2 linked regions of the Elephas maximus indicus genome follow. The protein of the gene in region 2 purifies or fractionates together with the protein of the main gene of each other region. This does not show direct contact. Links are inferred from orthologs where the notes say so. Each region holds a gene or a part of one and is shown on either strand. Other genes may lie near its edges. The genes, in order: ARMCX3 and RANBP6.

Region 1 (16,128 bases), on a different chromosome or scaffold from region 2:
TTTTATTATCATTGTTGTGTGCTGTAGAGTCAATTCCGGCTCACAGCGACCCTATAGGTCAGACTAGAACTGCTCCATAGGGCTTTCTGGCTGTAACCTTTATGGGAGCACATTGCCAGGTCTTTTCTCCCACTCGTGTGTTCAAACCGCTGACCTTCCTGTTAGCAGTCAAGCACGTAACCATTGCGCCACCAGGGCCCCTTGGCTTCTTATTACTGGGAAGTTAATGTCATGTTCACCCCAGCTGCAAGAGTCACTCAGCACCTCAAGATCAACATGCCTTGAAATGAATATTTCTCAGATGCTCAAGTTGCATATCTGGGTCAGGGGACAAGTTTGCAGTCATTGCCTCTATTTTCTCAACTATCTCTAGTAAATATTTATTATTATTTATTATTTTTGTGAGGAAAAAATTAAATCAGATTCTGAAAATGTATCTGCAGCATGATCCAACCTCATGTGAAGAATATATAGATATATGTGTAGTAAAAATGTCTGGAAGGGTATACACTCAGTTTCAATTCTGTCCTGCTCTCCACAGCTGTCACAGTCCCTTACAGAATTCTATTTGCAGCCCTCGGCCCTTCACTCTGCATCTTCTCTCTGAAGGACCACATCCACTCCTGTGTCCTCAATCCCAAATCCTATCTGCAGCCCGCACTTCTCCTCTGAACTCTGATTAATGCATTCAAATGACAACAGTGTGTTCCTATCTCAATGTCCCAACAGGTACCTCAAACATTATTTTATTGTTGGTTTTTCGTTTTTTTTTGTTGTTGTTGTTGTGGTTAATTTGTGACTTAAGAGACCCCTGTGTTACACAGCAGAACTGCTCCACAGGGCATTCTTGGCTGTAACTTACAGAAGCAGATCGCCAGGCCTGTTTCTTCCATGGTGCCACTGGGTGGATTCGAACCAATCTTTTGGTTACCAGCCAAGTGCAAACCATCTGGGCTAACTAGGTACCTTTCAAACTCTATTCCCCATTTTAAGCTGGATTCATCCTCGTTCCCTCCCAAATCTGTTTCTTCCACCTAACAATAGGAGCAAGGAAAATTTTAATTCCCTTCCCCTCATCCCCGCCCCTTACAACTCGTGTCAAATGAGTCCCCACTTGTACATGGTTCAGTAGGGTCACCATACCCAATAACTGTAAACCAACCAGTCTCTGATCCTTTTGTCTACTACAGACATTAGAGTATCTAGAGACCTGGAGTTAAAACTAGTATTGAACTAGCCAGAAGATTTTACTCTTTCCTGGCCTCATACAATAAAATAGGATACCATCATCTGGCCTTCCAAACCAAGTAGGACTATGTTGTGGAGGTTGGTGAGATCATGTCTGAGGAAACACTTGGTCTCTTAAAAAAGAACAAAAACTTTATTCCTTTGAGAAACTATTTGGAAGGTTGCTTTGCAGGAATGACAGAACTCTACAAATAGTCACTTAATAAATGTTAACTTTTATTGTTTTTTTTTTAATTAAATGACACTGACACATGGCAGAATACCCCAGCAAAACAAAGGTCAACCAAAAAACTATCAACCCTGCATTCTAAGGAATTAAGGGTGCTCACTTTTCTCGATTAACTGCTATGTGCCAGAACATTGTAAGTACTTTGCATGTATTACTTCATTTAATCCTCATGACAAGGCCCATCTTCTCCACTTATCTGTCATTTCAGAGAGGAAGCTTCGATTTCAGAGAGGAAGCACTGAATTTTTAATCCAAATGTTTTTTCCACTCAGTACATACTCCAGTCGATCACCTGCTTCATTCCCAATACTTTTCTTTTTCAAAAATTTCCTAAAAATCAATGCTCATTATAGGTAAATGAGAACACATAGATGAATAAAAAGTAAAAAGGTAAAAATCACTCATTTCCCACCCAGAGATAAGACTGTTTGGGTATCTATATTTCCAGAGTTTGTAATGTCTATTTAAACATATGCTTTACTATTAAAAAAAAAGTGCAATCATACTATGATTACTGCTATCTAACTCTACCTTTCTCACTCAACAATGCATGGTGAATATCTTTTCCTGGCAATGTAAATTTTCATCAACATATTTATTGCATTCCACTGTGTGAACATGCCATAATTTATTTAACCCACCCAGTGTACTAGACACTTAGGTTGTTCCCAATTTTTACTACTTTAGATAGCACTAGGATGAACAGCCTTGTACATATACTGTTTGGCCAATTATCCAGTTATTTACTTAGGACAAATTCCTGTGAGTCAAAGAGTTTACATGTTTGAAGCTTATGCTATATATTACCAAATGGCCCTCCGCAAACCTGGTGCCAGCGTAAACTCATTCCCATTGCCAGGGTTTGAAAGTGTCCATTTTGCCACGCTCTTTCCAACACTGCACAGTAGGAGAGAAAGATTTTTATATGGGTCCCAAATATTCTATCTAGTTGAAAATATTTAGAGGCTCTCAGTGTTCAATGAGATAATATTCAAACAGCTTTCCACAAACTAGCCTCATCCAGCCCTCCAAATGTATGCCCTACTCCCACTTCCCACACTCTCCACTGTAAACAGATTGGTTTCCTCACCGAAACAGGGTTCCTACCTCTATGCTTTTCTCACCCCATCCTCCCTCACTCCTATCTCCTCCAAGAAGCTTTAGCTGACTATCCTTACCCACAGAAACCTCTGTCTCCTCTGTACTCTGAGAGTGCACATTTGACAACAAGCATACGCTCAAGCTATTCTGTTATCTTTCTGTCTGTACGTTTCTTATCTCTTCAACTAGATTATAAACCAAAAGACAAAGATGGTTTCTGTCGTTCTTTCCCTTTTTTTCCTTCCCCTTTTCTTTCCACAATTCTATTGATGAGACACGAATGAAGTCAATGCAAATGACAGAAAGGAGCTCACTTACGATGAATTGGTTCACTGTCACTTATGCTGAGAAAATAGAAAAAACATTTCCATCTAGGCAGCAAGATAAAAAGCAACAAACATGTTTTCAGAACAAGTATAATATTCATTCATCCAGCTGAAACCTGAAGGCCAACTTGGAAAATATCAGCATTGATGATACAATATGATATTCATTATTCAAAATTGGCAGCTGAAAGGATTCCTTTACCAAATAAACAAGGTGGAGAAAAGGACTAGCTTATAATACACATTGCTTCTAGACTGCAAAATTAAGACGTTATTCCTGGCTCTTTGGAAACATATGCTCAGCCAGTTTGGCCATGAATTTTCCAATTTTTACTTTCACCAAAAAATCATGGTGACTTTCTATTCCCAAAACCTTATCAGCACATACTTGAAATTCTTTAAAAAAGAAAAAAAGTGAACCTTCGCCGAAGTGGTTCTGAGTAGGTTCATTTTCTTCCCATTTAAAATTGTCACTTATATTCTCAAATATGATCAAAAGTTTAAGAATAATATCTTTGTTCTCCTTCTTATTAAAGAGGGAACCCAGTGAAGACGGTACTTGGGCCCTGAGCAGTTCTCTAGTCATGGCTGGATTTTCAGCCAGATTCAAAAGGAGTTTCAAAACCTGAAGCTTGGTTTCTTCATTTCCTGCTGAAAATAAACGAAAAAAGTCTGAAATGGAATTAGCAAGCATGTGCTGATGCTCATTGGTAACAGTCATATTTGTAAGCAGTCTTAGTCCAGCCAGCTGCACAGATGAGTTCAAGCGAGACGTGACTGTGTCGTCACACACTTGATTCATGTATATCTTAAGCCTGCGCTGATTTTCAGCATTCACGCTCAAGTTATTCAGAACAATTAAAGCTTTTTCCTTAACTATGGGATCGCGGGTATTGAGAATCTTTGCAACGATTGGGAGACCACCCAGATCCCGAATAATGTCTCTATTAAATGCATAAGCAGCATTGTTACCCAGAGCAATTAAAGCTGCTTCAAGAATATAAGGCTTTTCAGACATCTCAACCAAGCAAAGAACTTTTTGCAGCTCTAGAGGGGACAAAATAGTATCATCTGAATTGGGGGAAGCCCGTTTCTGGACGGCCCGACGTGCCCGGGTGGCCCTGGCCCTGGCCCTGGCCCTAGCTCTGGTCCCGGCCTCAGTCCCAATCCGGGCCCAAGGCGGGTACCATACAACGCCCTTGTTCTCATTGTTGTCGTCATCATCATCAGACCAGTCGTTGTACCTGCCCCCAGAACAGTCGCCAGTATCATCCATATCCCCAGACCCGCCCTCAGCCATTTTCTCTTTGTTCTGTTTTCTTCCTCTGGTCAGTCTATAAATGCAATAGCAGGCACCAGCCCCGATCACCAGTCCCGCTGTCACCCAGCCTACTTTCCTAGCGTAGCCCATGCAATCGTCCCTGACAATAGCAGGGACCAAGGAACAGAGTAGTCACTCAGGCCGGGGGAGGATGGCTGTGGGCCTGGATTTAGGCCTGTGGAGGGTAGTAGTCTTCAGCCACTTCAAGGCCACAACAGCTGATACTGCAGGTGGACCTAAGAGTGGAGGAATGAAACGGAATTTGACTTTCGCTTCTCTTTGTGTCCTCCCAAGAGGAGAGTTGCACCAAGGGACAGGAGAGTAGTAACTGAGTGCTTGGTGTCAAAGGTGGATTGTTAAACTCTCTCTACGCCCTTCATTTCACCCTCTCCCAGCACCGCCCCCCTCCCAGCTCACTCCCACCCGGACCTAGATAAAAGCAATGGAGCCCAGGGACTCTGCTAGGGCTCAGCCCCACCCCTCGCCCCTCAGCCATTCCCAGGGAATAGCACCCTTTCACTAACCTCCACAAGACAGGGCAGTTTGCTCCTTCTTCCCTCCCCTGGAGGTGTGCCACGCCCAGCAACCCTTGGGATCTGCAGAGAGACCAGAGCCAGTGAGGACTGAGGGCTCCATGCACAGACTAGTACCCTGTTCCCCTGTCAGTTTCCCGATTCACAATCCGATTGTCATTTTCTTTAACCTCTCTACCCCTCTACTCCATTCAAAACATGCTCATGCCTGCCCCTCTCCCTTAGCCTGAAATGGGAGGGATGGAAGGAAAATAAGGCAGCAGCGGATGAGCTGGTCCAAACTTCAGCTGATCTCCGGCCCCCCCCCCAGACAGCCCCTACCTCCACACCAACCTCGACTGCTGATGGGGGGGAAACTTCCTCCCTCGCTTCAAGCGGTGCCACCTGCTACAGCAGACCTGCTGGATGACAGATCGAAAACATGGGGACTAACTGCTGGATGAGAGAGGAGGATTATGAACAAACTATCTGATAGGTTTCCCTCCTGCCACCCTCTCCCCTCTTCCCCAACGCACGCCATTTCCCCACAGTCCCGGGAGTGAGAAAAATACTCAGACTCAGAGCTGAACCTAGATTACCATCTCTGGTTTCTCCCCACCCCCACGCCCGCCCCTCCTGGGGTCCGCAGATGACCTTACCCTCAAATCGACCTTCACCGATCGAGGTTGATTTCCTTCCTCTTCTCTTGCCCAGCGTTGTGCCGAAACCTACGTAAAGACTGGCCACCCGAGAGAGGATCGGACCCACTAGACACAGAGCCACGGTCAGGAAGCCACAGACACAGACAGAAAGACGGGAAACAGCCGCTACTGAGTGCTTGCTGGACGGACCAGTCCCCAGAACACGAAACTCTTTTCAAATTCGGAGGCCCGATTGTCAAAGGGTTCCCACCCTTATTACCTCTCTCGGGGCTCCGCTAACACACCGCGTTGCACCCCACCACCTCCCCATACCCAGCTTTACCCGCCGGCACTGTCCTGGTAAACTGGGAGCCAACACCCAGGCTGCAGCTCCCTTTCCGGATTGCAAGCCTCTGCTCCCAGCAGATTCCCACCTCCAGATCTCTGGGCTCCACCCCAAATATGCCCCTGCTCACCGTTTCGAAGCATCTAAACGGCCTGCGAGCGGGACATACGTCTCGGACAGCGGGAGGCGAGGGGGAGAGACGGACCAAGGCGCCCCAGGACCCGCGACGGTCTCCGCCCTACGCCTTGGGCTAACCCCACCTTATGGAATCTCCTAGGCACTGACCTGCAAGAATCCGGGACAATTGCCTTCTCCTCCTCCTTCTTCCCCCTGCAGCAGGCCCGCCCGCCCTCAGGGCAATGGGGAGCTGGTACTCAGACGGGAACAACGACCAGGACAAGAAGGACTTCTGCACACGTCAGCTCTTGGTCACGTGAGAGCTACGTCATCCACCAACTCGGGTCCCCAATTTCCCCTCCCACCAGCAGTGCGGCAGAAGAGGGCCCGCCCCCCTCCTTTCCTTCCCCTGTACTCGGCCTTGTCACTTCTTTCCTCCTCGCTAATCCCATCTCCCTGTGGTTGTATTCGCCTTCCTTTGACTACCAGAAAGGGACAGCATCCTCCCCTGGGGCTACTGGCTACTTGTACTTTTTTTTTGAAATTTTACCTCCTCCTTCCTGGGCTCCTGGGACAGCAGACTCTCCCTCCACCTCCTCTCCTTCCAGCTATTAATGTCTACCATTTCCTCTGAAATCTAGTCCTAGATCTGAAATGCACAAGCCATCGGAAAAGGAGGCCTAGGAGTGAGAGTGTGGTTTTTACTTTCTTAATACTTTTTTGTTCTTTTTGTCTGCCCCTGCTCCCACCTCCAGTCTGCATTCTTTCTATGAGAAAAAAAAAAATACAATAAAGCTATTTTCATTTGAGTGGGAAAAAAGGAGGAGTGGGAGATTGACGTTAGGTGATGGCCTCCAAAAGTTCCACATTTTCTCCCTTTACGGGCAGCGTTACCCACTTCACTTAAAACAATCTTAATGTTTTCTGGGCCCTGGCACATAACACAACCCTGAACAAGCTAACTAATCATTGCGTCTGAGAATTTGTAAATCTTCTGGCTAGGCTGGTCTTTTACATGGGAAAGCTACAGACTTTTGCCCCCATCTGTTATCAAGGAAGAGGCATTGAGCCCTCAGAAGCCAGAAGCACAGAAAAGGTGGAGTAGAAATCACAACTTCTTGGTGGGTATCTATAAGATAAAGAAGCACGCACACTGACAAAGTGAGTGACCTGCAAAGACCATTACAAGATAGTCTTGGGTAGAAGTAGAAAATATCACCTTGAAATGAAATAGATATTGAGGAACACTGAGACCAAGACAAAATTGGCTGAACTCTGCATCTAGCAATAGAGTGAAACTCTTCCACTGACTGGTTTGATGATCTCAATGATACATCTATCATCAATTATTTAACTTTTTTTTTTTAAATGGGAGAAGTAATAATGTCAGAACAGGGCCTGTGTATAACTTTTAAAAATCTACAGACAATATGAGAGTAAATCAAGAGTCTGCAGAGTTTGGGAACAGGTAAAGCTCCAAGAAAATTCATATCGAGTAACTTCTGGAAGGCAGTACTAGGATATGATTGAAATTTAGTAAACAGAAACCACATCAACTATATGGCTCTGTGTTTACAGATATATCATGTGAAGGGAATTATTTAAGCATAGAAATATATGAAAAGGAAAGTCAGAGTGAAATGTTGGTAGTTTCCAACCCAAGCACTGTCTGGGGAGAAGCCTTGGCTAAGATAAATGGAACATTTAGCTTTCCTTGCCAGAGCCATCCCCATGATGTGTAAGTGCTTCAAGCTCCCTTAGCTGAAAGCTACTTCTTAAGGTGAACCGACTGTCCTTTCTCTGATCGCAGGCTCACCAAGCAACCTTCTGAAGATGTGACTTCCCAAATAGTAGCTTGCCTACATGGAGAGAACAGGCTGACTGACAAAAACCTCCAGTACCCCCTCACAGTTGTATTTCTCAGGGTAAATTATTCAGCTAGTACTCTGTTAAGACTTAGCTTCCCTCATGGCCTACTTACAGAGACAGAATGCAGAGATCCATGGGTTTGAGCATGCAAATCTAAATTTATGGAAGTTTCTGTGAATGGGAGACTTCCCTTGACAGAGGCATTTGCTCTTATTGTACAGAGTCAGAGGTTGATCACTTAACACTGAGGACAAGACTGAACTGGAGATACAACCTTGTGGTATCCTGTCAGGGAAGCTAGGTGGCCTTGGGTCAAAGGACAACCGTGTGTATCACTATTTCTGAACTGTACCCCCCTAATGTTAGGTTACACTACAATTAAGATATGCTGTGGTCCATAGGGAAACCCTGGTGGCGTAGTGGTTAAGTGCTACGGCTGCTAACCAAAGGGTCGGCAGTTCCAATCTGCCAGGTGCTCCTTGGAAACTCGATGGGGCAGTTCTACTCTGTCCTATAGGGTTGCTGTGAGTCGGAATCGACTCAACGGCACTGGGTTTTTGGGCTGTCGATAGGCCCCCAGTGCTTCAATCACAGCTAGACAAAGGTTTACTATCCAAAGCAGGTAAAAAAAAAAAAATTGCTGTCAAGTCGATTCCAACTCGTAATTCATAATGACCCGATAGGATAGAGTGGAACTGCCGCATAGGGTTTCCAAGGAGCACCTGGTAAATTCAAACTGCCAACCTTTTGGTTAGCAGCTGTAGCACTTAACCACTATGCCAGAAAAAAAAAAAATTTTTTTAGGGCTCCTACAAATAAACAACGTTTGAAATAGTTCATATTTCTCTCTGGGAAAAGAAGTTCATTTTACATTTGATATACCTTTTCATTTTCCCACCAAAAGGCTGGACATGTGACCAAAACAGGCCAACCAAATGCTCTCTTGCTAAAATTTGAATCTTGAGCAGAGAGATAAAAAGCTGAAAATCATTGGAATTATGGTATCCTGACAAAACCATCTATCAATTCCTGCTACCCAGACCCCTGAGAGCTGACCCTGGTTGTCAACATTCTCTCATTGTTTAAGTTAACCAGGTTTGGGTTATATTGCTTGCAACCAAAGAAGCTTAACTAATAATCAATATCCCAATGCAGAAAGTAATATCATTTTTCAAGATAACAATCCTCTATAATGTATTTTCCTCACCCTCTCCAATTCCATCAGTGTTACCATCTGCAGACCCCTTTTTTGTTTTCAGGCACTATACAGCATACCACATTTGACCACATACTGATTTAAGCCAAAACATTCCTTTTGGCTGTGGCTTCGCATACTCTTTTGCAGGCTCAGGAACTTTTAACAGGCGTGTTTGAAATATTGCTTAAGGATTTTTCCCTTTTTGCTTTTGAAAGAGTATGGCAGGCATAAACATGCCCCGAAATAAATGTTAGTAGATCTATAATGGAGAGCAAAGTCATTTTTAAGTACTAGTTCCCAGGTTCCTTGGTAGGAATTATGGGTCAGAATGACAAAGTGAGAGAAATGAAAAGGTTGTCACGCCTGTGGGGTTTTTAGATAGAGATTCAAACCTGTAAATTTTCTGACAGACTGTGGGAGAATGGGGGTCTGAGGAGTGGGAGTCATACACTGAAATAACTGGAGAATGTACAAAGGGGGATATTTTATTACTAGCGAGGAGAGGTAAAAGTGAAGTGTTTGTCCTTGAAGCCTGACGGAGGGTTGTGAAAATGAGTCCTTATTATAGAACCATGTCTATGACAAGACACCTGTCTTTGCTAAGCGTTACATACTTTTTAGTCCTTTCTAGTGTATATATTCAAAACCAATAAGACCCACTTATATAAGTACCTAGGAACCAAAAACCGAATGATGACCAATTAAATCTGAAATGCCTGTTTGGAAGGCGTCATAAATGGAATTTATTTGTCTAGGAGAAGCGAACAAAGGGTGATAAAAAGAACAGTCTAAATTCAAAAAGAAAGACCAGACTTGCTGGCCTGACAGACACTGGAGAAACTCTGAGAGTATGGTCCCTGGACACCGTTTTAGCTCAGTAATGAGGTCACTCCTGAGGTTCACCCTTCAGCCAAAGATTAGACAGGCCGGTAAAACAAAACAGGACTAAAGGGGCACACCAGCCCAGGGGCAAGGAATAGAAGGCAGGAGGGTACAGGAAAACTGGTAATACGGAACCCAGGGTTGAGAAGGGAGAGTGTTGACATGTCGTGGGGTTGTTAGCCAATGTCATAAAACAATATGTGTACTAACTGTTTAATGAGAAACTAGTTTGTTCTATAAACCTTCATCTAATGTACACTAAAAAAAGAACATTCCAAGGGAATGCTGGGGAAACAAATGTGGTAGTAGTCTAGGAGAGGTGGAATATAAGATTGGTGAGTGTGAATTAGAAAAATTTGAGAAAGACCAGAAAGTGGGGACATGTTCTTCTGAAAATTCACCAGCAAAACTCTGTAGGCTCCCTGGCTAGCCTCAGGGAAGGGCCTTCCTTACACTGGGGCCCCTAAAAGGGGGAGCTTCCTGCTAGGGTGTCATATTTCAGCGTTCTAAGAAAGAGGCTGCCTGGAGGGTCTATATTTAGAGTATGACTCTGGGCAGGGACAGGTGGATGTCTGGGGACTAAATTCTGCATATGTTGTCCCTGAGTTCTGGGGTTATTCTGAGGGGCTTAAGTGGGTGGTACAGTGAAACTGGAACAGAAAACAGGGAATGAAAGGGTCTCTTTCTCCTGGCGACTGCTTGGGATCCTGTCCTTCTACATGAGGGAAAAATGACCCGGACATCCAAGGGGTGTTGCAGTGATTTGCAGTCATCCACAGGCCCTCACCACCATCTCCACTGGAAAGTGCTGAGCACTAAAAAAGGAAAAAAATGTTGCTAGGGAGTCAATTCTGACTCATGGCGACCCCACATGTTTCAGAGTAGAACTGCGCTCCATAGTATTTTCAATGGCTGTAATCTTCCTGAAGTTGGCACAGCACCGCTGGGTGGATTCAAACCACCACCGATTCAGTTAGTAATTGGGCGCAAACTGTTTGCAATACCCAGGGACCTAGCCACTGCTATAGTTACATGAGTGATGGACACTGGAGATATCTCTCTCACCAGTGCCATGATAGAAGGAAAATTCCACCAGCTAAGCCTAATTTCCATTAGTGAGAAATCAGGGAATTCTCAAATTTCTGGATGATTTATGAGTTGCACCATGAAACTTCTCAACAGATTTTTTTTTCCATTTAAATTTTTTTTATTGTGCTTTAGGTGAAAGTTTACAAATCATGTCAGTCTCTCATACAAAAACTTATACACACCTGGCTATGTACTCCTAGTTGCTCTCCCCCTAATGAGACAGCACACTCCTCCTCTCCACCCTGTATTCGCCGCATCCATTCAGCCAGCTCCTATCCCCCTCTGCCTTCTCATCTCGCCTCCAGACAGGAGCCGCCCACATAGTCTCATGTGTCTACTTGATCCAAGAAGCTCACTCCTCACCAGTATCATATTCTACCTTACAGTCCAGTCCAATCCCTGTCTGTAGAGTTGGCTTCAGGAATGGTTCCTGTCTTGGGCTAACAGAAGGTCTGGGGACCATGACCTCCAGGGTCCTTCTAGTCTCAGATCATTATTAAGTCTGATCTTTTTATGAGAATTTGACGTCTACATCCCACTGCTGAACAGATTTTAAATAAAGCCCTTTTAATGGAAAGCAGGCTAATATATGAAGTGACTAATTGTAAGGTTCAGCATTCACCTGAAGGTTTCTAGGTGGTGCAAACTGGGCTGCTAACCTAAAGGGTGGCAGTTTGAACCCACTCGGTGGTACAGCAGAAGAAAAGCTCTGTCGATATGCTTCTGTTAAGACTTGTTGTTAGTTGCCATGGAGTTAACAGAACTGCTCCATAAGGTTTTCAATGTGGTCCACTACAAGCCAAAAGGTTGGCGGCTGAAACCCATCCGAGGAACCTCAGCACAGGCCTGGAAATCTGCTTCCGAAAAGGCCACAGTCTTGAAAACCCTATGAGCAGTTCTACTCTGCACACATGGGGTTGCCATGAGCCGGAATTGACTCAACCGCAAGTAACAACAGCAAGATTCAGCTGGAGCTGGAGGTCTGCAGCCAGAGTGAAAGCCATCTAGCAACTGTCTATGAAGACCATCTCAGCTGACTGACATCTAATACCATGAATTGAGACAGGAGGAAAAGGAACAGTGGTTTACTTATCTAAAATGGCCACAATTAGACCACTGACCTTCTCAGATTGAAAGCACACTGGTTTTGTTTGTAAGGCTTATATAATTATTATCATTTTAACACACTTACTGTGTAAAAGCTGCTATTGCCTATGAAGCCAGAAGAAGATGTTTTCAATGCGATACAAATTAGCTTAACCAAGTCAATGAGGTCTTCCAATGAACTGGGAATGCTTACTTATTTTATATATCTTTCATTAAAAAATATTTTATTCTTTTTTCTCCAAGTGAAAATAGCTTTGTTGTATTTTCTGATTACACAAAAGTGTTGCTTAAGCCAATACAAAAAGGGCAGAAGAAATAGAACATAAACGTATCAAAAATATTAATAAAAATCTCACTACTATTTGGAGTTCCTTTTCTGACAACCCCCCTCCCCATTTGGTGCAGGGACTGGATGGAAGAGGGAGAAATCAAGGAGAGGGGGTGCAGAAGTTTCAGAGCCTAGAAAAGGATGAGACAATTCCCCCAAGATGTGTGTAAGCGAATGGTAGCCCCAGGAAAAGATGCTGCCCCTTCCCGTAATTGTTGTTGGGTGCCATCCACTGATTCAGACTCATAGTGACCCCATGTGACAGAGCAGAACTGCCTCATTGGGTTTCCTAGGCTGTAATCTTTAGGGGAGTAGATCGCCTGATCTTTCTCCCGCGGAGACGCTAGGTGAGCTCCAATTGTCAACCTTTCGCTTAGCAGCCAAGCGCTTAACCATTGCGCCACCCGGGCTCCTTTGCTGTAATTACAAAAAAGCAAATTCAAACTCCAGGGAGGCAGGGCCACTTCTGGTCTCTGGTATTGTTAAAGAGAAAAAGAGTGACAGGGCCCAGGGTAGTGGGGGGAGGTACGGGGCGGACTGGCGCCTGCCGCACTGCTTGTGGGAGTGGAAATTGGGGGGCAGAGCTCACTGGTGACGTGGTCCTCACGTGACCAAGGGCTGCTTAGAGCAGAAGTCCTGCTAGTCGCCTCCGTCTGGGTACCAGCCCCCTATTACTCTGCGGGCGGGTTGAAGGAAGAAGGAAACTCTGTACCATGCAGGTCTGTGTGAGGGTGGGCGCTGCTTTGAGGGAGGAGGGGTGGGAGAGGGCCAAGAGCGCCACGGGGTCAGGCTCATCGGACCCATCGGGCTGTTGTCCCCTCCTAGCCTACTTTCTTAATACCCCTCCCCCCTCTTGTCCTCTGCCCCTGTTAGTAGAGAAAGCTGGCGGGCTTCGAATGGGGGTGGGGGAAGCGGACGGCGGTTCTGGAGACTCGGAGGAAAGAAAGATTCCACAAACAGGGCACCCGTGTCCCTGGTGCTGGTCCGTCCACCAAGCAGCCAAACCGTCCGTCCCCTCTGTCTCCTGTCTCTCTGCAGATTTGTAGATCTGTTGGCCTGTAGGTCGCAGCTCCAGTCGCGGAGAGGGAAAGAGCAAACTGCGCTGGAACCATACAGGTCGGTGTGAAGGAGGGATTAGTCCGGGACCCTGGGTGGGGGTGGCGGTGGTGGCAGCGGGTCTGGAATCTGTGCGGGCCAGGTCCGAGTCGCCCTCTCCCGGCCCCTTCTTTCTCCACACCCCCTCCCATTTCAGTGCAAGGAAAGGGGTGTGGCGGCCTTTGCAGGGGAAATGGCGGACGACGAGGGGGGCCGGGAAAGCTCGCGTTGGGAAAAGTCGGGCTGGGAAAAGTCGGAAGAGTGTGGGAAAGATTTTAAACTCAGGGTCAAGAATTCAGAAAAGCGAGTCTTGGGACCGATGTCCTCAGTGCTGATACATGCACTACACTTTCAGTTTTCCACTTCCACCTTTCAGTCTTTCCATCTGTCCTTCTGCCGAACTGCCCACCCATCACTGTGTAGGGAGCACTGCCAACAGAACAAGGGAAAAAGGAATTTACCTGACTCAGGTAGAGATTTTTATCGGTAGAGTTTGGTAGGTGAAACTGACTAGCTGAGGGTTTGCCTCTCCCTGGCACCCTTCTGGTCATCTTAGCAGGACCCCATCTCTCCACCTTCTCCGTGAGGCCTAGAAGAGAAATGATGGGCCCTGGGGATAGATAGGGGGTGACAGAAAGGAAGAAAGAAATAGTTAGCTAATAATTCACCTTTCTCACCAACTGTCTGCCTGCCTGGTGAGGCACAAACCCTAGCCCAAAACCCTAACGCTCTTTTTCATGCATAGATTCATCACAAGAGACTTGAAGGAGCCTAAGAAAGGCTGAAGACTACCACCCTCCACCACCACTCATTTGGGCCCTAAAAGACCCCTTCAATCAGGCTGAGCAAGGTGTTCTATCCTGCCCCAAGGCTGCCATAGACTTGAGTATGAGTCGAGCTCGGGAAGTGGGTTGGATGGCAGCAGGACTAATGATTGGGGCTGGTGCCTGCTACTGCGTTTACAAACTGACCGTGGGAAGAGAGGACAGTGACAAGTTGGAGGAGGAAGAAGAGGAAGAATGGGATGGCGATGAGGAACTGGGTGAGGAAGAGTCTGAGATGCACTTTGATTTCACAACTATGGCTCGGCCGTGGACTGATGATGGGGATTGGACCAAACCTGGGGCCCCAGGTGGCAATGAGGACAGGCACTCAGGTGGAGGCAAGGCCAACCGAACACACCCTACTAAACAGCGTCCGTTCCCCTACGGACATAAAAGCACTTGGAGTGCCCAAGGCTTTAATAATGTCAGCTGTGTTCTTGACCTCTCCAAGAGTCCTTTCATTCAGGTAAAAGTGTTGTTTGCTCAGCCCAAGGATGCTGGTTTTTCACGTAGCCACGGTATCAATAGTCATTTGGCCAGCCTCTCCATTGTTGGAAACATGATCCCCACTCCTAACCCCACTGTTGAGGAGAAGGCTTTCTGTGCCCTGGGTAACTTCAACGTGAGTGCCAAAAATCAGGCCCAGAATAAGATGTACATCAACCAAGTGTGTCGCGAGACTGTGTCTCGTTGCTGCAACTCATTTCTGCAGCAGGCAGGATTAAATGTGTTAATAAGCATGACAGCTATTAATAACATGCTTGCCAAGTCCGTTTCAAACTTGAAGCTTCCTTTGATATCAGAAGGCAGTGGATGTACTAAGGCTCAGGTTTTGAAACCACTAATGGGTTTGTCTGAAAAGCCAGCCTTGGGAGGGGGGTTGCTCGGGGCCCACGAGCTATTGTCATTCATGCCCCTCTCTATCAGAAATGGAAACAGAGAGATTCTCCTGGACACCCTGGCCCCTTAAATGGCCATCCCAAACAGCAACGGACCGAATCCACCCAAAGCCCGTTTGTTGAGCACTCACCTGTGTTCTCACTCAAGGAATCTGCAGTGGGTGCTGTAGAAGATGCAGCCTTAGCCAATCACCGCATCACTGGGTGAAAGTTACAGTTGCTGAATCAGGGACCACACTCTCACTGGCCAGGCAGGGGTGCCCACAGAGCTCAGAGTGACCTCTTGGTTTTATAAGTCTGCAGGCAATGCGCATTGTATGTCCCTCCCTTGCAGCCTTCTTCTTGTGAAGGGCTCACTGCAGCTGCCAGCTGTGGGTAAAAAACATCCTATTACAGCATCACAGAGCGATGTTGTTCCCTGTGGTGGTCTCCCTGTTTAAGCTGGACTGTTCTGTGGAGACCAGACACGTGTCAGAGCTTGTGCTGGAAACGCATTTGTTGCTGCTTAGATTGAATTCTCTTTTTCAAATCTACTCTTTCTTCTCTGCGAGCTGACTATTCATCAAAAACCTATTCATACACTCCGCTTTTGTCAATTGTACCGACTTCACTTTACTCACCCAAGTCTTCATTTGTGTGTATCATCAATAAAGTTGTGTGCTTTGATTGGCAAAAAAAGAGACATGGTCCTCGTCCTCGAGTTAACAGTCTACATGAAGAGAAAGACAAACACACACACTAAATGCTAACCAGCTGGGGCATTGGCTCCCTGACAAAAGCACGCTCACCAGTGCTCACAGGAGGTAGAAGCTGAAGTGGGCTGCAGTGATCAGTAAAAGCTTCAAGAAGGGGCTGGGTGGTGGCGGGTGGGGGGGACAGGGCTTAGGAAATGAAGATGGAATGTGGAGAGGACTAAGAGTCAACACCCGTGAAGCAACCAGCACAGTTCCTGGTGCAGAGAAACTCCTTGATCAGGTTGCGTGCCCCTCCTTCCTT
Region 2 (16,126 bases):
TCTCCTGCAGGAATTCGCCCAGGATCCGGTAGCCCTGCTGCAGCTCGTAGGGCAGCTCCTGCCCCTTGCAGCCGCCGGCCGCGGCCGTCGTCGCCTCCTCAGCCCGGCCGGTCGCGTCCTCCTGCAAGGCTGCACTCCTCCCTCGGGCCGGCCTGGCGGCCCCCGCCTCCTCGTCATCCTCGTCCTCGGCCGCCGCCGGCGGCCGCTCCTCCTCCCCGGCCGGCTCCATCTCCGCCGGCGTCTCGGGCGCGCTCATGCCCGCGGCAGGCCCGGGCTGGGCGGTGTGGAGCAGCCGCTCGAGGCGCCGGGGACGCGTGAGTGCGGGCCGCCTTCTTACGACCCGGCCGCGCCGCGCCGCCCGGGCCGCATCGGCCTCGCTCTCCTCACAGCCGGCTGGGCGCGGAGCGCGCGGGGGTCTCTGCTCTCCGCCGCGGGGCGGGGTTACATGGCGCGCGGGGAGGGGGAGAGGAGAGCCGAGGCGCCCTCCTCCCCCCTCCCCCCGGCGGCGGCGGTGCGCGCGGCCCGGCCTCACCCTCGGCGCCCCGCCCGCTCCTCACCGGCCGGCCGGGCCCGGCGGCCTCGGCGCCCCACCCCCTCCCGGGCCGGCTGCGAGGCTGGGAGGGGGCGAGAGGAAGGGGGTGCTCTTCTCGCCTCCCCGGAGGGGCCGAACGCTGGGCCGCGGAGGCTCGGGCTCCTCCTCCTCTCCCTCACACCCCCTCCCGCCCCTCTCTACCTGCGGGGGACCCGGGCAGGAGGAGGCGCCGCGGACGGGCCCGGCGACAACTGTCAGTTAGACGCCCCGCTGGGCGGGGGGGAGGGGGGCGGGGGAGGGGGAGGGCACTCAGTCCCCCTGGCCGGGCGAGCACTGGAAAAAGGCAAAGAAAGAAGGGCCGTCGCCATCCCCGATGCGCATGCGTAGTGGAGCAGGTTTTCCCCGCCCCCTCGCGTCCAGTCCCGCTACGCTAAGGCGAGGACTTCGGCTCTGCTACAGGCCCGGGGGTCTGATAGACTGCGCGGACCAATGATGTCATCAACTTGTAGCGATTGTGAAGGGCGGGGCGGGGAGAAGCAAGGCGCCTGCGCGGCTTTACACACCGCCTCCCGGGAAGGGGGCATGGGCCTCTTTATAAAGTAAGTGCTGTCAGATAATTTCTCCTGGGAGGCCTTTATTAGCCCTAGAAACTAAAATTAACCCTAAAGGAGGTTGTTAGATGACCTTTGTTACTGACAGATGGGTAGTGAGAAAGCACAAAATCCTATCCATTCTAAAATTGACGTTCGCTTTGCACCACTCCTGCCCCTACCTCCGTTGTGACTGCGGGCCTTTTATATAAATCCAGAATTTTGAAACGTTTGGAGAGAAAGTTAAGGACTTGACCAACGGAAACATACGTTCACATGCAAAAGGCAAGGAGGTGATTTATAGAACTCAAGTGGTTATCTACAAAACTAGTTTCGGAAAATGCTGTCCCCAGTTCTTAACATGAATTCATATTTTGGAAACTAGTCTCATATTTTCCATTAAAGCAAAAAGTAACACTTCCACACTCTCCATTCTTGAGACATGTAAGAATACAGGAATCGAAGAATGCGACCTCACTTAAATAACATCCTTGGGACTCTAAACAGTCTCCAAGTATTTCCAGTCAGCTATACAGCATTAAGTAGTCATGTCAACGTGGCCTTAATCTAGTTTTAAATTACTGTTTAAATGACTAAAAAGGAGACTCATCATTCACATAAACGTACATTTTGCTTAAAGTGGAAAGGAAGAACTAATGGTTCCATAAAGGAGCTGTTAACTATTTTTTCCTGTTCTTTTGGAAGGAGGCACATAGAACTTTTTCTACTTGAACAGAGCCCTCTCACTTGAAACTTGGAATTATTTGAACAGAAAAACAAAATTATAGAAATCAAGCAAGTAAAAGTTATATTAAAGTGGTCACGGTATTCTAACTCCTGAGACTGTTTATTTCTCACTAATGAGACCCTTCAAGCGCTTACAAAATTCAAAACCTCAAAGCTTTCTTTGGGAAGTTAAATCCAGTATAGTGGATACATTTTGAGGGTATTGACATTCCCCCTCCATACCCCCCCCATTATCTAATAAAAAAAAACTCTAAATAAATAAATGCCTTATCAGATATTTATACTTTATTGGTCTTTTGCAGCTTTGTCTCTCTATTCAGAGCCCAAATATGTCTGAACTTCAGCAACTGGAGTCTGACTAAACCCACTGCCATCAAGTCTGTTTGGACTCATGGCAATGCTGTAGGACAGAGAACTCCCCCATAGGGTTTCCAAGGCTGTAACCTTTATGGAAGGCGACTGCCCCATCTTTATCTTTCTCCTGAAGAGCAGCTGGAGGGTTCCAACCACGGACCTTCCAATTTGCAGCTGAGTGCTTCCACCAGGGCACCTGTCAGCAGGGCTTCTAACCAGTTTGAACCCCTTCATTCCAGTTTGAACCCCTGCTGAGAATTTGCATTTCTAACAAGTTCCCAGAGGATGCTAATACTGCAATACTGCTGGTTAGGGACCAATTCTGAGAACCCCTAGTAGAGCAGTGGCTCTCAAAATTTATTATACATGAGTCACCTGGAGATCTTGTTAAACTGTAGATCTGATTCAGCATATCTGGGGGAAATGCACATTCTCAGCAGGAGTTTGAACCTGAATGAACCGGTTCAAAGCCCTGCCTGTCAGACGGAACGTCTCTAATTTCCTTTGATAAAGCCCCAGAATGTAAAACCCACCCTACCCAAGCAAATATCCTCTTCTCTTCTTGGCCACCAACTTTATTTCATGACTCCCAGAAATTACCCCAGGCCACCAAGCACTTTACATTCATCATTTCTCATAATCCTGTGGGTATTATCCCCATTTTACAGGTGGGGAAATTGATGCTTAAGAAAGTAGTTTACCAAACTTCAAATCTGGTTCTGTCATACCTCAGAAACTCCAGATGCCTAATTCAAAGTTGTCTGGCAGAATTCCCAATTCCTCACGCACAAGAGCGTAGGTAATCGCTAGGAATGTTGATCAAAAACAAACACCACCCCAAACCCACTGCTGTGGAGTCAATTCGGGCTTATATCACCCTAAGACAGAGTAGAACTGCCTTATGGGGTGTCCAAGGCTGTAAATTTTTACAGAAGCAGCCTGCCACATCGTACTCTCGAGGAGCGGCTGGTGAGTTTGAACTGCCGACCTTTTGGTTAGCAGCTGAGTGCTTTAACCACAGTGCCACCAGGGCTCCCTGTTGATTAAGAGCCTCTTAGTTAAGGGATATAAAAGCAAGAGTTGTGGGTAAGTAGAATGGTCCCCAATTCTAGTTCATGAAGAGGCCAAGGACAGGCCCTGTAACTTTTAGAAAACTTTATTATGCAAGAAATATGTTGATATAAATACATTAGAAAATATGAGTAAGTGAAAAGAAAAACTGCCATTTTATCCTACCACCCAGAGGTAACTTCTGTTGATACTTTGTAGTGGGATTTTTCCATTTACTCATCTATACTTTTTATCTTAAATGAACAACAAAATTGTGATCGCTCCATTAATAATTGTATGGAATGGACAGGGATTGCGTTATCTAAAATCTCAACTTCATATCCCTGTCTGAACTGGTAGTTGGTGAACTGAGATCGTAATGTAAAAGGAATTCTAAACACAACAAAGAACACAGCAGAGGTACAAACAACAGCAACAACAGCTACCATTTATTGAACACTTATTAGGTCTTAAATATTTGCTGAATACTTTACATACCCAGTACTCACAATAGCCTCAGGAAATCATGACAGATGTATTTGTTTATTAGTTGTGGGATCAATTATTTTTTGAGTAGACAGCTTTTCTCCTACCATACAAAAAGCTCGACATTAAAGACCAACATTCCAATTAATATAAATAATCCTAGATTTATAGAAATCTAGGAAAGGTTTTCTCCTAATGTATATCTACTGCTGAATGACTAGTCTCAAAGCTGTTTTCTTTTTCATGTTTAAAGCTAAAATTAACTTTTCCTTTTCACTTTCACAATAGAATATTCCAGTGCTACTACAGAATCTATAAGGAATAGTCGTCTATTTAAGCCCCATTCTAAATCAGGGCTTCTGTTCTTGTTGAGCTGCTTTCCAGGGTGGAAAATGGCATACATACACAAAATGATACACTGCTTAAACACGTAACACTAATTGACTCCTTCCATAAATACTGGTTACTTACTATTTGTCAAACACTGTTTCAGTATGCTATATGCTACCAATGTTAGATGTACCAGGATTCCCTTTTCAGTAGCCATGGTTCTTGGAATCCTGGAAAACTTAAGTAGAGAACAGCCTAGTTAAGGAGGTTTTAAAGTTCTTATAACTCTCAGCTGGACACCTGGGGAATTAGACTAGGGATACGTCCCACCCAGGTCCTAAGAGTACACTATGAACTCTCCACACTGCTGCAACATCTCAAAAATGTCTCCCAGTTTCAGCATCCTCCCATTACCATGACAGCCAGGCGTGTTACAAAGTAGGAATAAGCCTGCCATTAGTTCGTTCCCCTACAATTCCAAAGACGTTTGTTCTGAAAGTTCTCGTATTTTATGTTTGTGAGTTCTTACTACCATCTTGTGGTATTCAGCATGACATCTTGACACCAAGTATATTGCTTGCCCAGCATCAATACGTCAGACGAACAGCAAAAATGTATATACTTCATATCAACTAGGGGAAAAGTGACAAACATTCTAAGACAATGGAAGCACAGGTCATCACCAAGGGTCTGTGTTTAAGAGATAAAACATGCAAGGTGGACAGAAGGCTGTAACACTGACTAATCCTGGAGAAATGTGGCAAAGAGATATAAACTGCTGATATTTATTTGGAGTTACTTTTATGGTAAATGATATTCAAGTGATATTAAAGTGCTTCAAGCAAAATTTAGCAACGCCTGTAAGGCTGCCTGCTGTTCCTCATCAAGTTGGGATACGCATTCCAACCATAACTCGTCATCAGTCTGGACCTGGCGCACAACATTAGCTAGGCGTTTGGCACAAGGATCTTCACAGTTAATTGTCTCATTAATTTTTCCTTCAGCAATTATACTGATTATTTTGGGAAGATTGGAATTATTTGGACCAAGTACAACTGGGTGGTTATTTTCAATTAAGTCACAGAGAAAACTCAAAGTCTGAAGAGCTTCCTCTTTATCCTCATGCAGTGGAAGCCATGATAACCAGTGTGGAAGAACTTCATCCACATTCACACAGTTAGGCTTAAACCTCAAAATCTTCCCTATTGCTGAGATACAATTCTCTGTAGCAATGACACTTTTTTTGGTTTTAGAATTTGCACACTTAATAACTTTTACCAGCAGTGGAACAGCTTCTGAACATAAAGAACGATAATCATCTCCACCAAACTGTGCCATAACTCCCAGGCCATAGGCAGCAGCTTGCCTGACTTCAGGGTTATTGTCCCGCATGTTTAGTAGCATCGGCCACCGAAAATAGTCTACGTATTTAAACGAGGTCGGACTGCAGTGCTCTATGATATCATCAAATATGCATAGTCCCCACTGTCTGTCTGGCCATGGCCTACTTGAACAAATTAGATTTACAATTAACGGAAGTAGCTGCTCAAACCATGGTAAGATCTTTTCCTTGTAAGTACTAAATAATGAGTGCAAGATATCTGATACTTTGGTTAGAATATAAACATCGCATTCATCCTCGTCTTGCAGAGACATTTCAATCTGCTGGTCATAGTTTTCTTCCTGCCTTTTAACCTGTCGCAATTCTTGGTTTTTAAAGTGCCCTTCGAGCTTTGCTTTCAGTATTCCTCCCAGTTCTTCCAAGTGCTCATCATTGAGACACCCATCTCCCATTACTTCGATGGACTTTGCAAAAGAATTCATTATTTCTGAGAGTACATCTGCATCAGGTTCCGTCCCAATAGCCTTGATTAAGGGATCACATATGAATTGCCACATCAGTGCAAGATACTCCGGTCCATTAATTTTTGCACATTCTAGCAGAAAAGGCATGGACTCTGCTGCTGCCACTCGAACATTGTCGTGGAAATAAAACTTCAGTAAGGGAACCATCAGCTTCACAACTTGTTCCGTATATTCCACAAATCCTTCCCTTAACTCCTTAGCATAGTAAACCAACATCTGGCAAGCAGTCGCTTTTGCTTCAAGTCCTGAAGTTTTAATTCCAAAACTCTGCTGGTCTCCAAGATTTACAAACTGCCAGCCATCATCATCACTCATATTCTCCACATCCTGCGTGTCTAAGAGAGCGACATCAGGTTTAGCTGAAGCAGTCTTAATAAGAGGCTCAATAACCAGTGGAAGGTACTGTTGAAAATCTTTGCCAAGAATTTTACACATCCTAGCCCATGCTGAAACCATGTAAGAGATCTGAGGGTCATCATCTTCCATGTTATTTAAGTCTGATTGTGTCTTCAACAACAGCTGCATCACGTTTGATGCATCTTGCATAAATTTTTCCTTCCCAACAGCAAGGCCAACATGGCTGATGCATTCAATAGTTTTTCCTTTCAGAAGCTTGAGTTCCTTTTGAACAGCAAGCTCAACAATGTGCTTTAGAGAGGGCATAAATATATCATAGTACGGAACAAATTCTTCTTCTATTGTATCTGCAACTGAGGCAATGGTTGTCACAAGCTGTTCCAAGGCCAACTTTGTTCCATTCCGAATCAATTCTTGCAGTTTAATCACCAGGATGGAATGTAAGTTTTTCACCATGCTATCTAAATATAGAGCTAGCAATGATTTGGGGCAGTCTTCGATAAAAATAATAAGAGCAGAAGCTGCATGTGATTGCACGCGCTGATTACCTTGATTTTCCATGGTACGCAACAAAGCTGCAATCACTGTTTCATGGAATTTCTTTTGGAAACTAGGTGCAAAATCTGTAGCCATCTGTCCAAGTGTACTACAGGCTGCAGCCCTCACCCTCGGGTGAGGATCCTGAAGAAAATGCAAAACAGAGTTAACCATTTCATCTAGAGTTGATTCCATTTGCTGATGGCATCCTTCTCCAATGGCAGATAAGGCCATTAATCCAGCATGTCGATATTTCCAGTCAGGGCTCTGAAGCATCTGCATGATATGCTCCTTGGTCATTGGTAAAACCACTTTTCCACCGAGTCCACAAGCCAGTCTGTCTAGTGCACTCTCGGCAGCAACTGCATTGCTGTCAAAATCATCTTCTTCCATTTCATCAGCATTTACCCAGTCCTCGTCATCTTGTAGATCAACCATCATCGCTAATATGTGAGGGATAGCCTGTGCAATAATATTTGTATATTTCTTCAACATTGGGGTTGCCGTTTCAGACAAGGTCACTATTACTTCAAGAGCCAGCTGGCGTTGCAGATTACTAAGCCTAGAGTCGCTGCATAACTTTAAACTCAGCTGCAGAGTATCTTCTAAATAAGGGCCCAAGTACTTAGGAACAGTATCAGCAATCTCAACAAGGGATTCCAGGACGGAATCATCATCCTGGTAGCAGGAGTCATTCACAGCCTGTAAGATTCCTGGCAGCAAGTCTGCAAAGTCTTTGAAAAGAGCGACATTATTCTCATTAGCAAGGACAAATGCAGCTGCAGCTCTAGCGGATAATGTCCTGATAGCTGGATGCTCCTGATCTTGAATACACTGGTCCAACAACCGTTTGATGATATCCAAATCGTGCCGCTCTTGGTTCCCAAAAATCCCAGGAAAGTGCCAGAAAACGTGAATTGCAACTTCCCATAGAACCACATTTTTAGAGTAGATGGAATCAATCAGGAATTTCAAACCTTCGGGCCAGTGGTTAGTGCCATCCTCATCTATCAAATTCCTGGCCAGCACCGCAAAAATATCGCAAAGTTTTTTCCTCATGCTGGCATGTGTTTCTAACTTCACAGCCAGTATTAGTTCAATCTTGACGTCCCTCTGAACATCAGGAGGTAGGTTTGGATAGACTTCCTCAAACCCAGAGGACAAAAGCCGTCGTAGCAGTGCGGCAGCCATTTGTCTCACCTCATAACCTGCTCTTCTATTTCTGACGGCATCTATGAGGAACGTAGTCTTACACAGACCCGGGATATTTTCATAGATCTCCTCGGCCTGCCTCCGCACCATACAGCTTGGATTGATGAGGTTCTTCAGAAGCTGGTAAAACTCTTGCTTTTCCGACACGGCAGCGGAGAAACCCGCAAGCCCGGTAGCCGCCATCGCGCTCTGTCAAAACTAACGCGACGGGGGCAGAGGGAGGGGGTCTGCGGCTCCGAGCACTGACGTAAGCGACGCGCCGGCGTGGGCGGGGGGGAGCGCTTCTTCCTCCGCTTGCCGGGGTACCCAGGCTGGGAGCTGGCAGGGAGGGCGGGGAGGTAGAGTGGGACACTGCGAGAGAGGAAGAGCTTGGGGGGTGTCCTCCATTTGTTTTCCAATCAGATACAGATAATGTACTTGCATACGAAGAAAAAATATATATGTATTGATTGTATCCGAGTGGGATTATGAGTGATTCCCCCCTCCTTTTTTTTTTTTTTTTTGTAGTGGTTCGGCTGCTAACCAAAAGGTCAGCAGGTTGAATCCACCAGGCGCTCCTTGGAAACCCTATGGGACAGTTCTGCTCTGTCCTGTGGGGTCACTATGAGTGGGATTCGACTCGCCGCAACTGGTTTTTTTTTTTTTTTTTTTTTTTTTTGGTTTTCTCTAGTTCTAATCTGTATTGTTGTTACCTGATAATTTAAAACAATAAGTACACCTTGTAAACATGGTTAAGTGCAAGAAGCCAGTCACAAAAGACAACATATTGTATAATTCCATTTACAGGAAAGGTCCTGAATAGGCAAATATAAAGAGACAGAAGGTCTATGAGTGGTTTCCTGGGAGTGGAGGAATTGGAGGGAGACGGGGATTGAGAGCCAATAGGCCGAGGTTTTTTTCAGTTTGTCCTAAAATTGGTTGTGGTGATGGTTGCACAACTCTGCGAATAGACTAAAAGCCACTGACTGTACAATTTAAATTGGTGAGTTGAACAGTATGAATTATACCTCAGTAAAGCTGTTTAAAAAAAACATTAAGTCCAATAAAAGAATAAGTACGATGATTTGTGCTCCCCCGCCCACTTCTAATTCAGTAGAGCAGCAGTCCTCAAATTGTGGTGTGTATAAGAACCACCTGGTGGATTAAAAAAAAGAATTAGTAAGACAACTATGGTAAAAAGTAACCTGGGCTAGTAATCAGAAGACCTGAGCCTAGTCTTATCTCTAAATTAATTCTGTAGCCTTGGTTATGTCACTCAAAGTTTTTCTTGTATGCTCGCTAAATTGTAAAATGAAAGGACTCAGCTGTTAGAATCTCTAAGTACCCTTTCAAGGTATTAGACGAGGTACTGCATTGGGCAAATCTGCTGCAAAATCCCTCTGTGAGGTGTTAAAAAGCAAAGATGTCACTTTGAGGACTAAAATGTGCCTGGTCCAAGTCATGACATTTTCAATCACCACCTATGCATGTGAAAGCTGGACAATGAATAAGGAAGACAAAAGAAAAATTGATGTCTTTGAATAATTGTGTTGGTGAAGAATATTGAACATACCATGGACTGCCAGAAGAACGAACAAATCTGTCTTGGAAGAAGTACAGCCAGAACGCTCCTTCGAAGTGAGGATGGGGAGACGCATCTCACATACTTCAAACATGTTATCAGGAGGGACCAGTCGTGCTTGGTACATGGACGTCATGCTTGGTAGAGGGTCAGCAAAAAAGATGAGACCCTCAACGAGATGGATTGACACAGTGGCTGCAACAGTGGGCTCAAATACAGCGGTTGTGAGGGTAGCACAGGACCGGGCAGTGCTTCGTTCTGTTGTACATAGGGTTCCTATTGGTCAGAACCAACACGATGGCATCTAATAACAACAAGTCCCTATTGAGGTTATTCCAAGAAACAAGTGCCCCTGAAGAACTATTGTTTTCTTTAATTCAGGCAAGTGTGCTAATCAGAAACAATTTTCATTCCTCTAAGAAGGTTCTAACTTTTGTAGGAGCACTTGGCCACTCTCATTTTGACCCTTATATAGGTGTGTGAGGAAACCCTGGTGGTGTAGTGCTTAAGAGCTATGGCTGCTAACCAAAAGTTTGGCAGTTCAAATGCACCAGGCACTCCTTGGAAACTCCGTGGGGCAGTTCTACTCTGTCCTATAGGGTCGCTTTGAGTCGGGATCGACTCGACGGCAACGGGTTTGGTTTTTGGTATAGGTTTGTGAGGTTGGTAGGATAGGTAAAATAATCCTAATTTTAGGTGAGAAATCAAAACTCAGACTAGTTAAGGGATTTGTCTAAAAGACACAGCTGAGTCTCAGCCGCACAGCTCCTGAAAGCAATACCAATGTTCTTTTCACCATACCATTGTTGTTATCATGTGCCATTGAGTAGATTCTGACTCATAGTGACCCTATAAGAGAGTAGAACTGCCCCATAGCGTCTCCATGGCTATAATCGTTATGGAAGCAGGCTGCCACATCTTTCTCCTGCAGAGTGGCTTGTGGGTTCAAACCGCTGACCTTTCAGTTAGCAGCCGAGAACTTAACCACTTCGCCACCAGCCCTGGTGGCACATCAATTAAGCGCTCTGCTACTAATAGAAAGGTCGGTGGTTCAAACCCACCCAGTGGCTCCGTGGGAGAAAGTATGTAACAATGCTGCTATGAAGATTACAGCCTAGAAAACCCTATGGGGGCAATTCCACTCTGTCACATGGGGTCACTATGAGTTGAATATCAGCTTGAAGGCAACTTGAAAAATCAACTTAACAACAGCAACAGAATTTCCTTCCGTGAACCATCGTCTGTTTGGCCATACCACTTCCCTATAATTACCTTTCTGGTTTTGCAATATGACCAGAGGCCTTCATTTATTGCAAAGTCTGTCTTAAACTTCTCCAGGCAGGCTTCATTTTGTAAGATGCTGCTGCATATACCCTCCAATACAGAAAATCACAGCTTTAGCACTAACCAGATGATACACGAAGTAGGAGTGGGCAGTGGTAGTTCAGTGGTAGAATTCTTGACTTCCATGCTGGAGACTCAGGTTCAATCCTCGGCCAAGGCACTACATGCCCAGCCGCCATTCATCTGTCAGTGGAGGCTTGCATATTGCTATGATGCTAAGCTTCTAGGCTAAGACAGAGTAGGCCTGGCAATCTGTTTCTGAAAAATCAGCCAGCGAAAACCCTGTGGATCACAGTGGGTAGTCTCATAAATTACACTGTAATATGTAATAATATGCTCACTTAGGAAGAATCCTATTCTCCATCAACAGTGTTTCTCATTCTGTGGGCTGAAAACCAACTGCATCAGAATCGCTTGGTATGCTTATATCATAATACAGATGTTCAGGTCCGAGCTCCAAATCACTGAATCAGAATTTCTGGAAAATGCAAGCCATGAATTTTCCATTTTAATAAGCATACTGGGTTTTCATATAAATACCAAATTTTGAGAACCACTAATAAGATCAGTTCTGATTCTGACTCCAAGATCTTGACTGCAGTTCTTCACTTTGCTCCAGACTCACTGGTATTCTTATTGTTCCTTGAAAAAGTCTAACTGCAGGGCCTTTGCCTTTGCTGTTTTGGGAAATCTTAATAAGCGTATGGGAGAAAGGCTTCTCCTGACACTATACTGTTAGTATATTGAGGACTTATTGTCAATGACAATGAGATACCACCACACAACCACCACAATGATTTCCACAGAAAAGACTGTCATTACTAAGTATTCGTGAGGATATGAAGCAACAGGGAACTTAGTTGTATTTTTTGGTAGTAGTATAAGTAAATTGGTACAACCACTTTGGAAAAACTTTTGGAAAATGCTGGGTTAAGATTATACAAGTAGTCATTTATTCTCTTAGCAAACATTTATTGAGGGTATACTCAAGCATGCTGCTGGGTGCTGGGATTAAAGACTAAATACAAAAGGATGCTCCCGGTCTAATGAGAGAGAGTTACTGTCACACAGTGTAGTGATCACTGTGGTAATGGTTAAGTCTGCCACAGGACCACAAAGGATTGGGTCTGGGGGACATCAGGGTAGGCTTCCTGGAGGAAGTGATATCAGAGCTCACTTTTGAAGGATGAATCCTCATTAACAATTTGAAGAAAGAGAAGAAGGTTGTTCTCAGCAGAGGAAGCAGCCTGTTGAAATGTGGAGAGGCCTTCTGAGCCTAGTGTGATGAATGTTCTTCTGATATTTCAGGATGGCTGGAGCAATTCATATCGAACTTGGGGTGGGGCAGGGGGAGGGAGAGGGCTTGGGATGACACAGGTGGCAGGAAGGACAATGGCAGAAAGTTAAACAGACGCCAGATGACGAAGGGTCTTATATTCCATGTTGAGAAATTCGGACTTTTTTTTCCCCAAAGGTAATGAGGAGCTATTTAAGGACTTTAATCAAGCTTGCAAAATGATCTAATTTGTATTTTTGAAAGTTTGCTTTGATAGTAATGTGAAAACTGAAGTGTGAAGGCTGGAGACATTTAGGAGGCCAGTAACCTAGTTTAGTTAAGAGTTGGAAGTGTGAATCATGGCAGTGGTGAAGGGAAAGAGACGGGGGCAGAGCTTGGAGGAGAAGTTTTTTTTTTTTTCCACTTTTTTTTTTAATTAACTTTTATTGATCTTCAAGTGAACGTTTACAAATCAAGTCAGTCTGTCACATATAAGTTTATATTCATCTTACTCCTTACTCCCACTTGCTCTCCCCCTAATGAGTCAGCCCTTCCAGTCTCTCCTTTCGTGACAATTTTGCCAGCCTCCAACTCTCTCTATCCACCCATCCCCCCTCCAGACAGGAGATGCCAACACGGTCTCAAGTGTCCACCTGATATAATTGGCTCACTCTTCTTCAGCATCTCTCTCCTACCCACTGTCCAGTCCCTTTCATGTCTGATGAGTTGTCTTCGGGAATGGTTCCTGTTCTGTGCCAACAGAAGGTTTGGGGACCATGCCCGCCGGGATTCCTCTAGTCACAGTCAGACCATTAAGTATGGTCTTTTTATGAGAATTTGGGGTCGCATCCCACTGATCTCCTGCTCCCTCAGGGGTTCTCTATTGTGCTCCCTGTGAGGGCAGTCATCGATTGTGGCCGGGCACCAACTAGTTCTTCTGGTCTCAGGATAATGTAGGTCTCTGGTTCATGTGGCCCTTTCTGTCTCTTGGGCTCTTAGTTGTCGTGTGACCTTGGTGTTCTTCTTTCTCCTTTGCTCCAGGTGGGTTGAGACTAATTGATGCATCTTAGATGGCCGCTTGTTAGCATTTAAGACCCCAGACGCCACATTTCAAAGTGGGATGCAGAATGTTTTCATAACAGAATTATTTTGCCAATTGACTTAGAAGTCCCCTTAGAGCATGGTTCCCAAACCCCCGCCCTTGCTCGGCTGACCTTTGAAGCATTCATTTTATCCCGGAAACTTCTTTGCTTTTGGTCCAGTCCAATTGGGCTGACCTTCCATGTATTGAGTGTTGTCCTTCCCTTCACCTAAAGCAGTTCTTATCTACTAATTAATCAGTAAAAAACCCTCTCTCTCCCTCCCTCCCTCCCACCTCGTAACCACAAAAGTATGTGTTCTTCTCAGTTTATACTATTTCTCGAGATCTTGTAATAGTGGTCTTATACAATATTTGTCCTTTTGCCTCTGACTGATTTTGCTCAGCATAATGCCTTCCAGGTTTGGAGGAGAAGTTTTAAGAGGTAGAATCGATAGCATTTGGGGTGAGGGGAGGAAAAGCCTAAGAAATCTCCCCAAGTTGTGGCATGGGCTTCTAGATGGAAGCGCTTCGATTTACCTGTTTATTTACCTTTATATGAATATTAAAGAACAGTGTCGATGCAGAGGAAGAATAGGTTTGTTCCAGCCCCTGTATTTGCTTTCTAATTGCCGCCACACACTAGAATGGTGGTCATCATTTCACCAGTAGGAGCTCCACGGAATCCAAATTAGGGAAATGATTTATGGTCTTTTACTTTAGAAAAAGCAGATACTGATTTAACATCTTAAGGTGCTTCCTCTCTAGATTACATAATTCTGTTCTATTTACTTTTTGCATTGTTATTCCGTCCCCCCACCCCTTTATTTGCCTAAAAAGCCCACATAACACCCAGAACTTCAAGACTGTACTTGCAGACTGGGGTAGTGTTGAACAACTTTGTTACATTTGGTAATTAAAATGGTCTTTGCTTAGCACCACTGAGAGGCCAGCTTGAGAATGGTTCCACAATGTGGCAGAGTAGAATTCAGATAATTCAGGTGCTTATTAACAGATTACTAAGTGGGAAAAGTTCAAAATAAATTACAAATTTCTTCCAAGATCAAAGAGATTTAGTCAACTGAGGAGAATAGAATTAAATTGGACATACCTGACATTTTCACAAGAATAAAAATACAGAAAGAAAAAAATTACCACATAGGCTCCCACCAGCTTAAAATGGGACAATCTGAAAGTAAATAAATAAATAATACCTGCAATGGATTAAAACCACCAAATATATAAACGGAAGCCATGAGTTTCCATTGATATTTTTAAGAAGCCGCTAACTCATTCAGCATTAGTGGAGATTGCTAGGTGAGCAGCTCCAAGAATTGATAAAGGGAAAATAATCAAGATGTTTCTACCTTTCCTCTAAAACTCTACAAGCTGTTATTTCAGGATCACCAAATAATTGATGAGGCAAGGTCTTCTGTATAAGTTCCAGCTATTAAATGCATAAAGAAGGCTAGAATCAGAACACTACTGTACTGTAGCCCCAAGTGAAGTAACGAATCTAGGCAACGATGACCAATGGATGCTAAGGCCATTAGGTGAAACATTGACTATGGGAATTTAATAACAGGTGGATTAGGCTGGAACCACCTGAATTTACTGATTAATCTTAACAGTATTAAAAAGTGGAATAAACCAGACATGTTTACCTGTCATCTCTCAGCTCCACATCCACACTTTCTATAAGTCGTTCTGTGATGCTTAGGTTGTTGTGTGCCATCCACCCTCAGGACAGAGTAGAACTGCCCCCAAAGGGTTTCCAAGGCTATAGGGTCACTATGAGTTGGACTTCACGGCAGTGGGTTTGTTTGTTTTGGTTTCAGTCTTTATGAAAGCAGACTGCCACATCGCTCCTCCATCGAGCGGTTGGTGGGTTTGAACCGACAACCTTTCGGTTAGCAGCCGAGCCCTTAAGCACTGTGCCAGCAGGGCTCTTATACTGAGGTTAGGGTGTGGAAACCATATTTCTCCTTTCATAGCTGAGTCCATGTTAGGTTCTATCAATAGGATAGGTTGGAGGACAGAAAAAGGACTTGATTCTTCCTGTCTTTCCCAGATTGGCCCAGCAGCTGTCCTTCCTCCTGGCGGATGCAGCTCCTGCTTTTGCAGCGCTCTATAAGCAGCCACATCCCATCTCTACAGAGGTCCCAGCAGTAACCTGGGGGCAGCCCTCCCCTGAGGTTTCACCGGCAGCTTTGGGAGACTCCTCCTCTGAGCTCACGGGTACCTGTTCTATCCTGTTTCCCCAGTTTTAGGGGTGGCAACAGCTCCTGCAGTTATCATCAGATCACCTCGGAGTTCTTCACTCTTTCACATCTGTGTAATCAATCCCCTAAATTAAATCTCTTGAAGTATGCAATGGGGTTTTCCCAACTGGACCTTGACTCGTATACCAACCATTGAGTGATGCATTAGGAACTACACAGCACCACCTATGAAGTATTCTTTTTATTTTGAGTCAGCTTTATTGAGCTATAATTTATACGCAATAGAATTCCCTAATATATGTTAAAAAAAAAAAGTTTCCATTGAGTTGATTTCTACTCGTGGTGACCCTATGTGTGTCAGAGTAGAACTGTGCTCCACAGGGTTTTTGATGGCTGATTTTTTTTGGAAGTAGATTGCCAGGCTTTTCTTAAGAGGTGCCTCTGGGTGGACTGGAACTGCCAACCTTCTGGTTAGCAGCTGAGCACAAGAAGCTTTTGTACCATCAGGGACTCCTAACCTTGCCCACGTTTCTGTGAATAATCCCTCCAGTACATTTTCTTTGGTAACACTTTATGAATGTGCT

The links.
Region 1: the proteins of RANBP6 (region 2) and ARMCX3 purify together in Homo sapiens (co-immunoprecipitation; 3 studies listed by BioGRID and IntAct, counting the BioPlex papers as one, with this or other methods). This does not show direct contact. The link is inferred for Elephas maximus indicus from reciprocal best matches to the Homo sapiens genes RANBP6 and ARMCX3.

The regions. Positions count from the first base shown.
Region 1 is NC_064846.1:56,578,240-56,594,367, forward strand, and holds ARMCX3 (armadillo repeat-containing X-linked protein 3), read right to left. Parts: upstream 6,148-16,128; 5' UTR 6,010-6,147; intron 6,004-6,009; exon of another isoform or gene 5,855-6,003; intron 5,505-5,854; exon of another isoform or gene 5,477-5,504; 5' UTR 5,397-5,476; intron 5,160-5,396; 5' UTR 5,092-5,159; intron 4,822-5,091; 5' UTR 4,750-4,821; intron 4,462-4,749; 5' UTR 4,316-4,461; coding exon 3,176-4,315; 3' UTR 1,419-3,175; downstream 1-1,418. Other genes in the region: protein ARMCX6, read left to right, coding at 14,298-15,203. UniProt on the Homo sapiens protein: Regulates mitochondrial aggregation and transport in axons in living neurons. May link mitochondria to the TRAK2-kinesin motor complex via its interaction with Miro and TRAK2.
Region 2 is NC_064827.1:15,962,728-15,978,853, forward strand, and holds RANBP6 (ran-binding protein 6), read right to left. Parts: upstream 8,248-16,126; 5' UTR 8,245-8,247; coding exon 4,927-8,244; 3' UTR 3,380-4,926; downstream 1-3,379. Other genes in the region: uncharacterized protein KIAA2026 homolog, read right to left, coding at 1-256. UniProt on the Homo sapiens protein: May function in nuclear protein import as nuclear transport receptor.